Linked DNA regions of Macaca fascicularis. The protein of the gene in region 2 binds, or shares a complex with, the protein of the main gene of each other region. Links are inferred from orthologs where the notes say so. Each region holds a gene or a part of one and is shown on either strand. Other genes may lie near its edges.

The links.
Region 1: the proteins of CSF3R (region 2) and CSF3 are in contact, whole or in part, in a crystal structure (PDB 2D9Q), measured with the Homo sapiens proteins. The link is inferred for Macaca fascicularis from reciprocal best matches to the Homo sapiens genes CSF3R and CSF3. Residues at the interface, in NP_000751.1 of Homo sapiens: Arg164, Arg190, Lys191, Leu193, Leu194, Leu195, Tyr196, Gln197, Asp220, Met222, His261, Ile262, Asn263, Arg311, Pro313, Leu314; in NP_000750.1 of Homo sapiens: Ser42, Leu45, Lys46, Glu49, Gln50, Arg52, Lys53, Leu141, Asp142, Asp145, Thr148, Thr149, Gln152.

The regions. Positions count from the first base shown.
Region 1 is NC_088390.1:61,075,103-61,082,154, reverse strand, and holds CSF3 (granulocyte colony-stimulating factor), read right to left. Parts: upstream 4,039-7,052; 5' UTR 4,004-4,038; coding exon 3,964-4,003; intron 3,788-3,963; coding exon 3,633-3,787; intron 3,251-3,632; coding exon 3,143-3,250; intron 2,995-3,142; coding exon 2,848-2,994; intron 2,706-2,847; coding exon 2,541-2,705; 3' UTR 1,674-2,540; downstream 1-1,673. Other genes in the region: MED24 (mediator of RNA polymerase II transcription subunit 24), read left to right, coding at 1-42. UniProt on the Homo sapiens protein: Granulocyte/macrophage colony-stimulating factors are cytokines that act in hematopoiesis by controlling the production, differentiation, and function of 2 related white cell populations of the blood, the granulocytes and the monocytes-macrophages.
Region 2 is NC_088375.1:198,452,135-198,458,574, reverse strand, and holds the end of CSF3R (granulocyte colony-stimulating factor receptor), read right to left. Parts: intron 6,178-6,440; exon of another isoform or gene 6,129-6,177; intron 6,037-6,128; coding exon 5,848-6,036; intron 5,456-5,847; coding exon 5,354-5,455; intron 4,419-5,353; coding exon 4,272-4,418; intron 4,161-4,271; coding exon 4,020-4,160; intron 3,850-4,019; coding exon 3,756-3,849; intron 3,510-3,755; coding exon 3,428-3,509; intron 3,135-3,427; coding exon of another isoform or gene 3,129-3,134; exon of another isoform or gene 3,028-3,128; coding exon 2,557-3,027; 3' UTR 2,293-2,556; downstream 1-2,292. UniProt on the Homo sapiens protein: Receptor for granulocyte colony-stimulating factor (CSF3), essential for granulocytic maturation. Plays a crucial role in the proliferation, differentiation and survival of cells along the neutrophilic lineage.

The DNA.
Region 1 (7,052 bases), on a different chromosome or scaffold from region 2:
CTGGGCCGCCAGGTGGCTGCTAAAGCCATTGCTGCACTCTGAGGAGCTTGGCATGGCCGCAGTGGGGGCTGGGGGCTGGGGACTGGCACAGCCCCAGGTGCCTCCAAGGGAAGCAGTGAGGAAAGATGAGGCATCGTGGCTCACATCCGCTCCACATGGTGCAAGAGCCTCTGGCAGCTTCTAATTCCCCGCTTCTGACTCCTGACCTCCAGGATGTCTCCTGGTTTCCTCTTTTGAAATTTCTTCTCTGTCTGCCAGCACCTGAGGAGTGTGAGCAGCCTGGACCACAAGCCCAGTGGTCACCCCTGTGTGCGCCCGCCCCAGCCCAGGGGTAATCTTACTTCTGAGGAACTTTCTAGACGCAGAGAGTGTGTGTGTGTGTGTGTGTGTGTGTGTGTGTGTGTGTGTATATATTTTGTAATATGTGAGGGAAATCTACCTTTGTTCATGTGTAAATAAAGCTCCTCGTGGATCCCTTTGCGACTGTGGGTGCTGTTGGTATCAGTGTCACCCGGGGCGGGGCACAGTGCTCTCTCCCTGGACTGCCTGTGCTGTGGCCGGGGAAAGCGCACTCCTGTGGTGAGGAGGAGGAGGAAGAGGTGCAGAGGTGGCAGGGCTTAGGGTCCTATGTGGACTTGCTCAGCTGAGGAAGGGCCAGGGGAAAGCAGCTTCCCTTCCTTGGAGCCAAGTTGGCCGGCCTGCTGCCCCTCCCGCAAAGCCAGCTGTACCCTGAAAGGGGAGAGGCTTTGGCTCAGGGCCCCACAGTGCTGGGGCAGGGTGGCCTGCTCTGCTTTCTCCCGAACCTGGCCCAACCCTACCCACACTCTGACTAGCCTGGGATTTGGTCTGTTGCCTCCAAAAAAGGACTGGGGGATGGGAGGCGGGGGGATGAGGGCCGGACCTTTCTTTAACCCTTCCTTGCCTGCCTCACACGTCTCCGAGCCTGGCAGTGGACACTTCTGACCCTGCTTTCCGAGGAGCCACGGGCTGGGGAGGTGGGAGGGACCGAGGAGCTGAGGAGGACAAGGCTTGGGCAGATAGTGGACTGGGGGCTGGTGGGGGTACCCCAAAGCCACACAGGAGTCTTTGGCTGCAGGCAGGCCTCACACCTGCAGTGTGGTCGCTGGCCCCCGTACTTGCCACAGCTCCACACCCTCCTGTGCTGTGAGCTTAGCGCTCTTCAGCTTACGGGGCTGCTGCACCAGCTGGGGCAAGTGCAGAGACTGAGCCTGAGGAGGAGAGAAACTCCAACTTGATGGATGGGCTCAAGTTTATGGAAGATGGTAAGTGACAAGCCTGGTACAGATGCTCAGCACTCCCTGGCTTCATCTTGTCTGACTGTGTCTGGCCTGTTAAGCCCACCTGGACCCCATGTGCTCTCCTTTCCGGGTTCCCATGGTCCCAGTGCCTCTGTCTTCCCTGCGCGGCTGTGGCTGCTCATTCCACGTCTGCCTTGTTCCCTGCTGTGTCCCCAGCACTTAGCCCAGCGTCTGCACAGAGTGGGTGCTCAGATAAACACGTGCTAATGGAATGAATGTCAGACGAACTTGAGAACCTTCCCCCTTCTCCCTGGACCTCCTCCCCGACCTCCCTCAGGCCTCTCCCACCCTTCAGCCACCTTCCCAGCCCCTGACCAGGCACCAGCTGGACTCAAGAAGGAGGAAGGACATGACTGGAGGCAAACACTTTATTATCCTGAAGTTTGGTTACAATGCGACAGTGGAGGGGACACTGGTGAGTCGGGGGTGAAGAGGTGGAGGGTGACAGTCGAGCTTCCTTTCACACACACGTCTGACATCATTCCTCCTGTCTGCTCCCTCCCACATCCCCAGTCCCCGTCCAGCAAGGCAAATGTCCAGGCACCTGCCCAGCCCTAAAAAGAGTCATAGTCTTGACCCTCATGGGGGCAGGGCAGGTGTCCCGAGGGCACCCAGAAAAACAGGAGACACGTCGGTGATGCCTGAGTTCCTCATGCGGGGAGTCAAACCATGTCCCAAAAGTCTTAAGAAGAAAAACGAGATTCCCCAGCAAGTTCGTGGGACCCCAGGGCCATGCTTCCCAGCTCTGGCTGCCTCTGCTTGTCCAGGGACCTCACACCCAAAGGGATGGAGGGGTTGCTGTGCAGTCGGCTGAGGCCAGAGTGAGGGGTGCAAGGACCCAGATGGGGAACACTGCTGTTTAAATATTAAACAGGGATTTCTTGTCTCCCACGTGGGAGACCTGATACTCCCAAGGGCCCCAGGTGGGGACCCTCGGGACCAGGGGCTTACTGTGGCTCATCCCAGTGCCCACTGCAGAGCCAGGGCTGGGGAGCAGTCACAGTAATAAATACTTGGTATTTACCTATCTACCTCCCAGTCCAGGGGATGGGAGGACAGGAGCTTTTCTCACTGCTACAGGCAGGAGAATGAAACTCAGAAATGCAGGGAAGGACACAGAGGCCTGGGGCTTTGTTCTGCTCTTCCCTGTCTTTAAATATGAGGCTTAAATAGGCATAAATATTAAATAGAGATAAATACATGGGATGGGGAGGGCTTGGCTCAGGACTGGGCAAGGTGGCGTAGAACGCGGTACGCTAGCTCCAGGAAGCGCTGCAGATGGGAGGCAACCAGGACGCCTCCCGCCCGGCGCTGGAAGGCAGAGGTGAAGGCTGGCATGGCACCCTGGGTGGGCTGCAGGGCAGGGGCCATTCCCAGGTCTTCCATCTGTAAAGGAAAGCTGCGATCAGTGGCTGGGCCCTGCTGAGTGGGTGTTATTACAAATGAGGAAATGCTGGGGGCTGACAGGCCCGGCTGCGGTGCCCAGAATGCCAGCATGACCTTGGCAACCCTGCCCAACAAGGCTCACCTGCTGCCAGATGGTGGTGGCAAAGTCGGCAATGTCCAGCTGCAGTGTATCCAAGGTGGGGCCCAACTCAGGGGAGATCCCTTCCAGGGCCTGCAGGAGGCCCTGGTAGAGGAAGAGGCTGCTATGGAGTTGGCTCAAGCAGCCTGTCTGGGAGACAGAGCGGAAGAGTTAGGGGGTGCTGCCTGAGACCCTCCCATCAGGCCCCCGGCTTGGAGCCTGGAGACCTGGGGGAGCCCATGGGTGTCCCTCCTTTCCTTTCCCCTCCTCATCAGCCTTATCCTTTCCTGACACTCACCAGCTGCAGGGCCTGGCTGGGGCAGCTGCTCAGGGGAGCCCAGGGGATGCCCAGAGAGTGTCTAAGCAGCACCAGCTCCTCAGGGTGGCACAGCTTGTAGGTGGCACACTGGGGATGGAAGGATGCAGAGTGAGACTCGCCGTGGCCAGGTCGCCGCTCCTCCTTCCCTGGTCCTCTCTGATTCTCTGGTCTTTCCCCTCCCTCCATGTCTTGCCAGGCTGTTCAGTTCCTCTCTGCCCTGCACCCCCACCCTCTGATCTCACAGCGGCTCTTGTCCTGAATGTGATGCCTCCACTCCCATCCCAGCCAGCCCTCCCGAGCACTGTCCCCACCAAGGTCCTCCTCCCCAAGTCCCTTCCCAGCCTTCCCCAGCTCCACCGCTCCTAATATTCTCCCACATCCCTTCCTGAGGATGTCGGCCCACAGTTCCATCCCCCTTAGCTCTCCCCACTGGGCTTCCCTCCACAGCCCTCTCGCCCGCCTCACTCACCAACTTCTCCTGCAGCGCGGCACCGTCGCCCTGGATCTTCCTTACTTGCTCTAAGCACTTGAGCAGGAAGCTCTGGGGCAGGGAGCTGGCAGGGCCCAGGGGGGTGGCTTCCTGCACTGTCCAGAGTGCGCTGTGCCACAGCAGCAGCTGCAGGGCTGGGGACAGAGCAGGCTCAGGAGACATGCTGTTCCCTACCACCTGAGGCCCTCTCGGGGACACTGGGTGCCTTTAATCCCCATTCCCAGAACGGGGATCCCCAGCCCCTCTGTCACACCAGCCTCCCTCCCATGCCAGGGCGGGCAGCTCTCCCATTCTGGGCCAAGAAACTCACCCATCAGCTTCATGGGGCTCTGGGCGGCAGGTATAGCCATGGGTCTGGGTGGGGCTGGGCTGCAGGCTCCGGGCTGTTTTGGGGCCCAGCTCCAGGGGGGCCTTTATACATAACGCCACGGAGGCCTGGGAGGAAATTACCTGGGGCCACGACTAAGACTTAGTAATAACTTCCCAGGATTTATGCAAATTTGATGTCCAAGACAATGCAGGGGGGTTGGAACAAAAAGCTGTTTGCGAAAGTTTTGTGAAATTGTGGAATCTCTGATACTTCTTTGACGTCGCCTTGCCCCCCTCAAACTCCCTTCCTCCCGCTGCCCCACCCAGGCCTGAATGGTCCCAGGGTGTTTGAACAGAACAGCTGAACAAAGGCTGAGCCGCTGGTAGATGCCTGGAGGCGGCAGCAGCCTGTGGGGAAGTGGCGGCTGAGTGGGGTCTCCCTCTGCTCTGGCAGACTTGCGGGGGCAGTGTCTTTGCCCCTCTCCTTTGGGATTCTCAAGCCTGTCCCCAGAGCCCCCACATTCTAAGAGAGAAACTGGTTGCCCCCATTCCTACCCCCAAACTCTCCAGAGGCTGCCTGTCTGGGTGACCTCCTGAGGGCCCCTACCTGAGATAAGGACATTGGGTCTTGGCTGCAGTGCCCACCCCACACTTGGATAGGCACCATCGAAAGTTCCAGGCTGTCCTGACCCAAGCTGATTAGCTGGGAACTCCCCCAGAAACCCCCCTGACCCCATGACTCATTCAGTTAAGCCCCTGGAATCCCGGTAGAGCCCAGAGGAAACCGGATGTCTGTCCCAAATGAGGCAAGACCCTTCGAGGCGATTTTTTCACCTGACCTTCACCTCCTCATGCACGACCCTGACAGCAGGGTCCCCAAGGGCTTTGGAACTGGGGGGTTGGGACACGTGACTTCCCTGGCCATTCACCTTGAAGTGGACATGGGTTGGCCTGAGAGAGGGGAAACTGTCCCCATCTTCTCATCCTAGAACCATGCAACATTCATGCTGGAAGGGACCTTGGAGTTGGTTCCAGCCCTGTGAACTGTGCCAGGGAAGGAAGTAGCTTTGCCCAAGGTCATGGTAAGCGACAGAATTACAGCCCGGGCCCCTGGCTTAGGCCTGAACATTTTCTTTTTCATTTTTTTTTGTCTCCAGATGGAGTCTCGCTCTGTCGCCTAGGCTGGAGTGCAGTGGTGCAATCTCGGCTCACTGTAAGCTCCGCCTCCCAGGTTCACGCCATTCTCCTGCCTCAGCCTCCCGAGTAGCGCCCGCCACCACACCCGGCTAATTGTTTGTATTTTTAGTAGAGACAGGGTTTCACCGTGTTAGTCAGGATGGTCTCGATCTGGTGACCTCGTGATCCGCCCGTCTTGGCCTCCCAAAGTGCTGGGATTACAGGCGTGAGCCACCGCGCCCGGCCTAGGCCTGAGCATTTTCTACAGGCCACGGGGCCTGCCTGGGACAGTCTGACTGACCACACCCAAGACTGTCACTTTCTGTCCTAATTTACCTCAGCCTGCCAAGAAACAGACATCTCTGGATGGTGGACGTGGTGACTAGGTGGGGCCATCTCTGGTACTTGGGGGCCCCCTGGTGGTCACCACTGGCAGGGACATCACCTGCTGATCTCACACGCTGTCATCTGGTCCCCTGTCCTGCAGCTCCGCCTCAGCTCCGTGGCTCAGCACCTTGCAGTGATGGGGCCCAGTTCAGTGCCCAGCTCCCTGGGAGTAGAGGGTGGGATTTTGTTGCTGTTGTTTTTGTTGTTTGTTTGTTTTTTTGAGACTGAGTTTTGCTCGTTGCCCAGGCTGGAGTGCAATGGCACAATCTCGGCTCACTACAACCTCTGCCTCCCTGGTTCAAGTGATTTTCCTGCCTCAGCCTCCCAAGTAGCTGGGATTACAGGCATGCACCACCATGTTCATCTAATTTTGTATTTTTAGTAGAGGTGGGATTTCACCATGTTGGTCAGGCTGATCTCAAACTCCTGACCTCAGGTGATCCACCCACCTCAGCCTCCCAAAGTGCTGGGATTACAGGCATGAGCCACGGCCCCTGGCCTTGAGGGTAGGTTTTTTAACAGGACCATGTAAGGCAGAAGCTCCACATTCTTAAACATGTTGCCTGGCAACTATTGCATCGCATACCTCTTATACGTCAGGCACTTTTTTTTTTTAAAGACAGAGTTTGGCTCTTGTTGCCCAGGCTGGAGTGGCTGGAGTGCAATGGCATGATCTCAGCTTACTGCAACCTCTGCCTCCGGGTTCAAGCAATTCTCCTGCCTCAGCCTCCTGAGTAGCTTGGATTACAGGCATGTGCCACCACCGCCACCACAGCCGGCTAATTTTGCATTTTTAGTAGAGATGGGATTTCTCCATGTTGGTCAGGCTGGTCTTGAACTCCTGACCTTAGGTGATCTGCCCGCTTCGGCCTCCCAAAGTGCTGGGATTACAGTCATGAGCCACTGTGTCAGGCACGTTTTATTACACTTTTGTCCATTTTATTTGTGGGGGGAAACAGGGTCTCACTCTGTCCCCCAGCCTGGAGTGCCGCGGTGCAATCACAGCTCACCGCAGTCTCCACCTTCTGGGCTCCAGTGATCCTCCCACTTGAGCCTCCTGAGTAGCTGGGACCACAGGCACGGACCACCACGCTCGGCTAATTTTTTTTTTTTTTTTTTTGCAGAGAGAGGGTTTCACCAGGTTGCCCAGGCTGGTCTCAAACTCCTGGGCTCAAGCCATCCACCCACCTTGACCTCCCAAAGTGCTAGGATTACAGGTGTACAACCAACTGGTGGATTGTAGCCAAGGGAGGGCCTTGGAGAAGTGAAAAAACTTGTTCAAGATCACAGAACTACCTGGTGGCTGAACCAGGTAGGATTTGCAGTTAGATCATCTTCTCAAGCCCCTGCTGTTTCTGTGATACTACTTTCCTGTCAAGAAAGCTGTACCTCTTGAATAACAGCTCAATCCAGACTTCAGCCCCACACGGGGGAGAATAAAGACCAAACAGAGCAAGGGCTCATTACCACCGGCCATGATACATGGGACTGAGCTGGACTGGAGGCTCAGAAGCCACAGTGATCTGA
Region 2 (6,440 bases):
CACACGGGATGGAGCTCAGAGACCGGGTTCCCGCTGCGCGTGATCGGGCCGTGATGGTTGTGTGCCCACGTTTAGCAGTGTGTTGGGGTGCTGTATAAATTCTAAAATGCCACTTTTTGGAGGGCATGCATCCCGTCCTTAATCTCTCAGTACATTCCTGGCCCTCGGGCCGGGGTTATTGTGGGAGATCCATGGCGCCTGCGGTAGCCTTCTACCCCCAACCCAATCCCTTCTCCACCCCACCCCTCAGTCCCTTAGTCAAGGATGGGACCCTGTAAGAACTAATACTGGATTTCAGCCGTGTCTCTGGCAGCCTGGTAGCCTGGAGACTAAAGTCGTTGAGTTTGGAATCGTACAGCCCTGGTCTGGAATCCTAACTCGGCCATTTACTCAACGTGTGATCTTGTGGGCAAGTCACTTAACCTTTGTGGGCCCTGTAGGGGTAGTAATAACAATATCTCTCCTTTAGGTTGTTGAGAGGATTAACTGAGGCAGTTGTATGCAGAGCACATGGTATATAGTGAGCATTTAGTAAATCTTAACGGTGATGTTATTTGTGAAACAGTGGTGTAAGGGTGAATACAAATTAGAAGAAAAAGAGAATTTAATTTTCCCTGGAGCAAAAAGGGAAAAGACTCCTTCTTCTCACTTTTCTGAAAGCATTTACTTTAGAAAACTTGTAATTGTGAATACTTTTTCTACTGCTTAAAAGGTAAATAGGCCGGGCGCGGTGGCTCAAGCCTGTAATCCCAGCACTTTGGGAGGCCGAGACGGGCGGATCACAAGGTCAGGAGATCGAGACCATCCTGGCGAACACAGTGAAACCCCATCTCTACTAAAAAATACAAAAAACTAGCCGGGCGAGGTGGCGGGTGCCTGTAGTCCCAGCTACTTGGGAGGCTGAGGCAGGAGAATGGCGTAAACCCGGGAGGCGGAGCTTGCAATGAGCTGAGATCCGGCCACTGCACTCCAGCCTGGGCGACAGAGCAAGACTCCGTCTCAACAACAACAACAAAAATAAATAAAAAGGTAAATAAACCTCTTGCCAGTTTTACAACCCCGGAATGTTTTTCTCAAGGACCTGGGAGCCAACTCTTTGAAATGTAATAATTAAGGAGGATAGTGCTCTCTCTCTTAGTTCCTGTGGGAGGGTAGGAGCCTAACTTCAGTTGGTGCCTAGCTCTTAGTTGCAACCTACCCCTTGTCATAAAGATAGGGGAAATAGATATTTCCTTTGGATAAAGGCAATTAGCAGACACAGGTGGCTTCCCACTTACCAGGTAAAAATTTTTTTTTTTTTTTTTTGAGACGGAGTCTCACTCTGTCGCCAAGGCTGGAGTGCAGTGGCCGGATCTCGGCTCACTACAAGCTCCGCCTCCCGGGTTCCCGCCATTCTCCTGCCTCAGCCTCCCGAGTAGCTGGGACTACAGGCGCCCGCCACCTCGCCCGGCTAGTTTTTTGTATATTTAGTAGAGACGGGGTTTCACTGTGTTAGCCAGGATGGTCTTGATCTCCTGACCTCGTGATCCGCCCATCTTGGCCTCCCAAAGTGCTGGGATTACAGGCTTGAGCCACCGCGCCCGGCCACCAGGTAAATTTAGAGTGGGTGCCGCCAAGTCCTCTTGCTTGAGGACCAGTTATTGTTTATCTTGAGAAAATGGATACAATAAATTGTATTCACTTGGCTACATGAAAGGGTAAGATTTTTCTCTCTTTGCAGTCTCTTTAGTGGATCACCAGTGTATCACATTCTGGTTTAATGCTTATTCAATAATACTGTTTTCTTGCTTTTCTACCCTTGTGAAGAGGTTTTCTGGATTGGCAGGGGATTTTGTCTTAAATTATATTTCCCCAACAGGGGTTAGTTTTTTCCAAAGTCTCTTCACCGTGTCCCACCTCACTCTGTCACTCCCCCCATGTAACCCATGCCACTGTGCACTAAGGATCAGTTTTCAAGTCCCCACCACTAGAATGGAGCCCTCTGAGGGTGAACTGAGCTGAGTCATTTGCATAGGGCCTAGATGCTGAGAGCTAGCAGAAGGAAGGAAGGGAAAGGAAGGAAGGAAGGGAAAGGGAGGAAAGAAGGAAAAGGGAGGAAGGAAGGGAAGGGGGAAGGGAGGAAGGAAGGGAGGGGGGAAGGCAGGGAGGGAGGGGGGAAGGCAGGGAGGGAGGGGGGAAGGACCAACTCTGAGAAGTTTCCCCCTGACTGCTGGGCCCTGAAAAATAAATAGCAGAGACTCAGGTACACCCAAGAGTGTCTATAAACAATAACAAAAACTCCAAACCAAAAGCTAGTTTACAATACTGAAGTTATAGGAAACAAGTACAAAAGGCCATTGGGTGGGGCCGGATGGAGCATGATCTGGTCCTTAAAGTATGAAGATTGCCTGGGAGGCCCAGCCTATGGAGACTGGCGGGAGAGGGGATGCTGGTGGCTGGAGATGGGGAGAACCTGGGCTGGGGTAGTTTTTAGTCATGGGCTTCTGGACCCTCCCCTCTCCTCCAGCTAGCTCAGGCCTTTAAGAGGCAGGCCCAAGAAGGGAACCCCAGGAAGCCCTAGAAGCTTTCCAGCCCCTCCACCCCATGGACTCGGATCCCCTGCAGGAGGGGGAAGTCGAGCAGTGGCCCAAAGACACAGTCGTCCTCCTGGCTTGGGGCTGGGGTTACCAGGGTCCCCAGGGGGCTGGCCTGGAACCAGAGGTTCTCATAGGACTTGGGGCTGGGGGTGAGGCCCGCCAAGAGGGGCTGAGTGGAGTCGCAGCGGAGATAGTGCCCTGGCCCTGGGCTTGTGGGGCTGCCCAGCAGCTGCCCGTAGAGGACCTGATTGCTGGTGCCAGACTGGGATTGGGGCTGGGCGGAAGCTGCTCTTAGGTCCCCCTGGAGCACATAGGTCTGGACCAGAGTGGGGAGGCCACAGGTCTCTGAGCTGTTATGGGACTCCCAGGGCAGTGGCTTCTTCTCGTCCTCCTCCAGCACTGTGAGCTTGGTGATGGGTGGCATGCCCAGGCCAGGCAGCTGGAAGGCCTCCTGCACACAAGGATGTGGGGTGAGGGCACGGCTCCTTTCAGATGTCTGCCCCAGCCACCGTCCCTGTCTAGGTCCAGGCAGTTGTGGGGACATTCCTGCTGTTACTGCTGGAACACAAAGGGTTCCACTTGCAAAGCACTGGTATGTTCCTCACACATGCCTGACACATGCCATGCACCGTTCAGGCTCAGCATGGTCAGTTTTTCCATATCACAGGGAGGTGGCTGAGGCTTTGAGATGGACAGAGCTGGGATTCAAACTTGGGTCTGCTTCACGCCAAAGGGAGGGGGTGTTGCCGGAAGTGACAGGAAGGCCTGAGTACTTGGCTTCAGAAGGTGTCCCTTCACTGAGCCTGGGCTGACATCCCCACCTCATTTCCCGCTCCCTCCTGGATTCTCACCTCTTCCATGATAGTGGGCACCCAGGAGCCCAGGCTGCTGTGAGCTGGGTCTGGGACACTTGGCCAGAGGGGATTCTTCCTGCTGGAGAGGAGGGCAGGGGGAGGCTGGGTCAGACATACCCTCCAATCTTTCCATCCTTTGTCCCACCCATCCCACCTGAAGAGATGCAGCTGCCCTTAGTGCAGAGAGAAGAAGCTGGGGGCTGGGACTCTCAGACATGGGCCCTAAAGTTTGGGAAGGTTGGAAGGGACTTAGATGGGCCCACCTGGACCTGAGGTTCCCTGTGGGTGGGGGAGGCAGGATCTCAGGTCTCTCAAAGGGACTCACCTGGGGCTGCAGCAGAGCCAGGCAGTTCCACAGAGGCAGGAGAGCAAGAGCAGGAGGCCGAACAGGCCCAGGAGGATGTGTAGCTCGGATCCCTCTGCAGTGAGGGCAGGGCCAGAAGAAGTTAGAATGCATGTGGGGAAGGCTGGGTCTCCTCCCTCCGACCAGGGGATTCAAAGTCAGTCCCCATCTACTCTCAAAATCAGCATCCTTTGGGTGGGGTACCCTTCCAATAGCCATCTCTGCCCAGCCCTCGTCTCCCCTTACCTGGGATCAAGGTCATCAGGGTGAGGACTGTACCATTGGTGGCGCCGGCCTGGCTGGCAGCCATGAGGTGAATGTGATACAGACTGGCGGGCTCCAGGCCATGGAGGACAAAGCCACGGGAAGAGGCATTCAGGATGGTGGCTGGGAGGGGTGTACGGTCAGTGTAGGCCTGGATGCTGAAGCTGCCTCCATGGCGGCTGAGCACCCCCTCCCGGGCCTTCTGGGGCTGTGGGGAACTGAGGATAGACTCACAGAACGACTGGTTTTGAGCATTGGTCCAGAAGATGGTGTAGTGGGTAAGGGGGCTCTTCCCCAGCTCAGGGGGCTCAGGCACCCACTCCAGCTGTGCCCAGGTCTTGCCAATGTGCTTTAGATGCAGCTCTGGGGCATGGCGGGGGGCTGTGGGAAGAGAGAGGTGCAGGGGCTGAAGGGAGTGGGGCAGAGCAAGAGCCCGATTGGACTTCTTGTAGCTTCTCAGGCACTGTGGGGTGGGTGAGAAAAGAGTCCAAGGGGACTCATGCCCAAGCCTCATTTTCCCAGGGATTTAATCCAGATTCCACCTACTGCTAATAAGTATCTAAGCCAGGATTTGAACCTGGCTCTGCTTGACTCTGGAGCCTCACTTTCTGATTTCTACCAGGCCTGATTTCATCTGATTTACTCTCTGATTTCTGCCACTCACTCTCCGAATTTATGCCAGGTCCTCTGTCCAATTTCTTTTGCTTTTGTTTTTGAGACAGGGTCTCGCTCTGTCACCCAGGCTGGAGTACAGTGGTGCCATCTTGGCTCACTACAGCCTCGACCTCCTGGGCTCAAGCAATCCGATCCTCCCACCTCAGCCTCTCAAGTAGCTGGGGTTACAGGCACACACCACTGCACCCAGCTAATTTTTGGTTGATTGGCTGGTTGATTTATTTATTTATTTTTCTGTAGAGACAAGGTTGCCCAGGCTGGTCTCAAACTCTTGAGCTCAGGGGATCTGCCTGCCCTGGCCTCTCAGAGTGTTAGGATTACAGGTGTGAGCCACTGCATCCGGCCCCTCTGTCCAATTTCTGTTACATATAACACCTTATTTTTGTCTGGGAAATGGATTGATTTTTGCCAGGTTTGCTCCTTGAATTGTGCCAACTCTCTACTCAATTTCTATCACAGCACCTGATTTCTGTCCAGCTGTAGGGATCCAGTGTTAAGCCAGGGGATTGGGAGAGATGCTCTCCAGGGCCGGAAGTATGGTAAGAAGGCAATGTTCCCTATACTGCTGATTGCTGGGGACCAGGCAGAGCCTTGGGAGAGAGAGGAGAGGATTCTGGAAAGGGGCCTGATGGTTGACGAACCCATTTCTTGGGAGTAGGCATAGACATGCTGGGAGGGTCCCATGGCGTCCTGGTACAAGGGAGTCACAGTGATCTCATAGAGCTGAAAGGGCCTGATGTTCTCTGTAGAAAGAAAATGAGGTAGGCATTCCTGTTAGGAGCTAACCTGTGCTAATGATCCGGAGCTAGCCTCAGACCTCTAGTCAGGGCTAACCTGGGCTCATGATTCAGGGTTAACCTCCGCCAATCTTCTTTAGATCATTTGATGAAAATTAGGGAAGAAAAGTAGAAGAGAGAGCTAGAAGGGTGGCAGGGTCAGGGCTATAGAAAAAGGATCAGGTTGGACTATAGGAGAACTTCCTGATTATGAGGATATGAAATGAGAACAGTGAAGGATCAAGAAAGGCTGGAGAATCCATGTCTCTTGGGCAGTTCAGGTTGCCCCATGCCTATTGTCAGACAAGCACTGCCTCCCTTTGTCCCTGGCCCTGCCCAACTTTCCAGGCCAGCCTTACCCTGCAGCAGAAACCCCGTGGCGCTCCCGTTCTGTTCCATCCTCCAGGTCTTGTTGCTATTGCTCGTGCTGGGGGGGCTCAGGCCCCACTCAATCACATAGCCCCGAGGCCATGGACTGGGGGGCTCCCAGCCCACCCAGAGGCTGTGAGGGTCTCGGGCCATGGCATGGAGTCTGGTCAGGGCTGGGCCTGGAGACGGTGGGAAATGGTGGAATGAAGGTGAAAAGAATGCAGGCCCTGGAGCCAGAAGCCTGGGTTCAAATCCTGGCTTTGCTACTTACAGGCTGGGTGACCTTTGGTAGGTCAACATCTGAGCCTCAGTTTCCTCATCTGTAAAGTGGAAATGATGATAAAAGTTCCTACCTCATAGGGTCTCAGTGCAGATTAAATGACTTGATGCACAAAACAAGCCCGGCATAGTGCCTGGCACAGAGTAGTTCTTGTTAGTGATAATAGCTAACACTCTATGGTTCTTGGTATGTATCAGGCGTAGTCCTTGATATATTTTATTTTAGTTTACTTTTTACTTTACCTTACTTTATTCTTTTCTATTTTATTTTATTTTTACGCGGAGACTTGCTCTGTCACCCAAG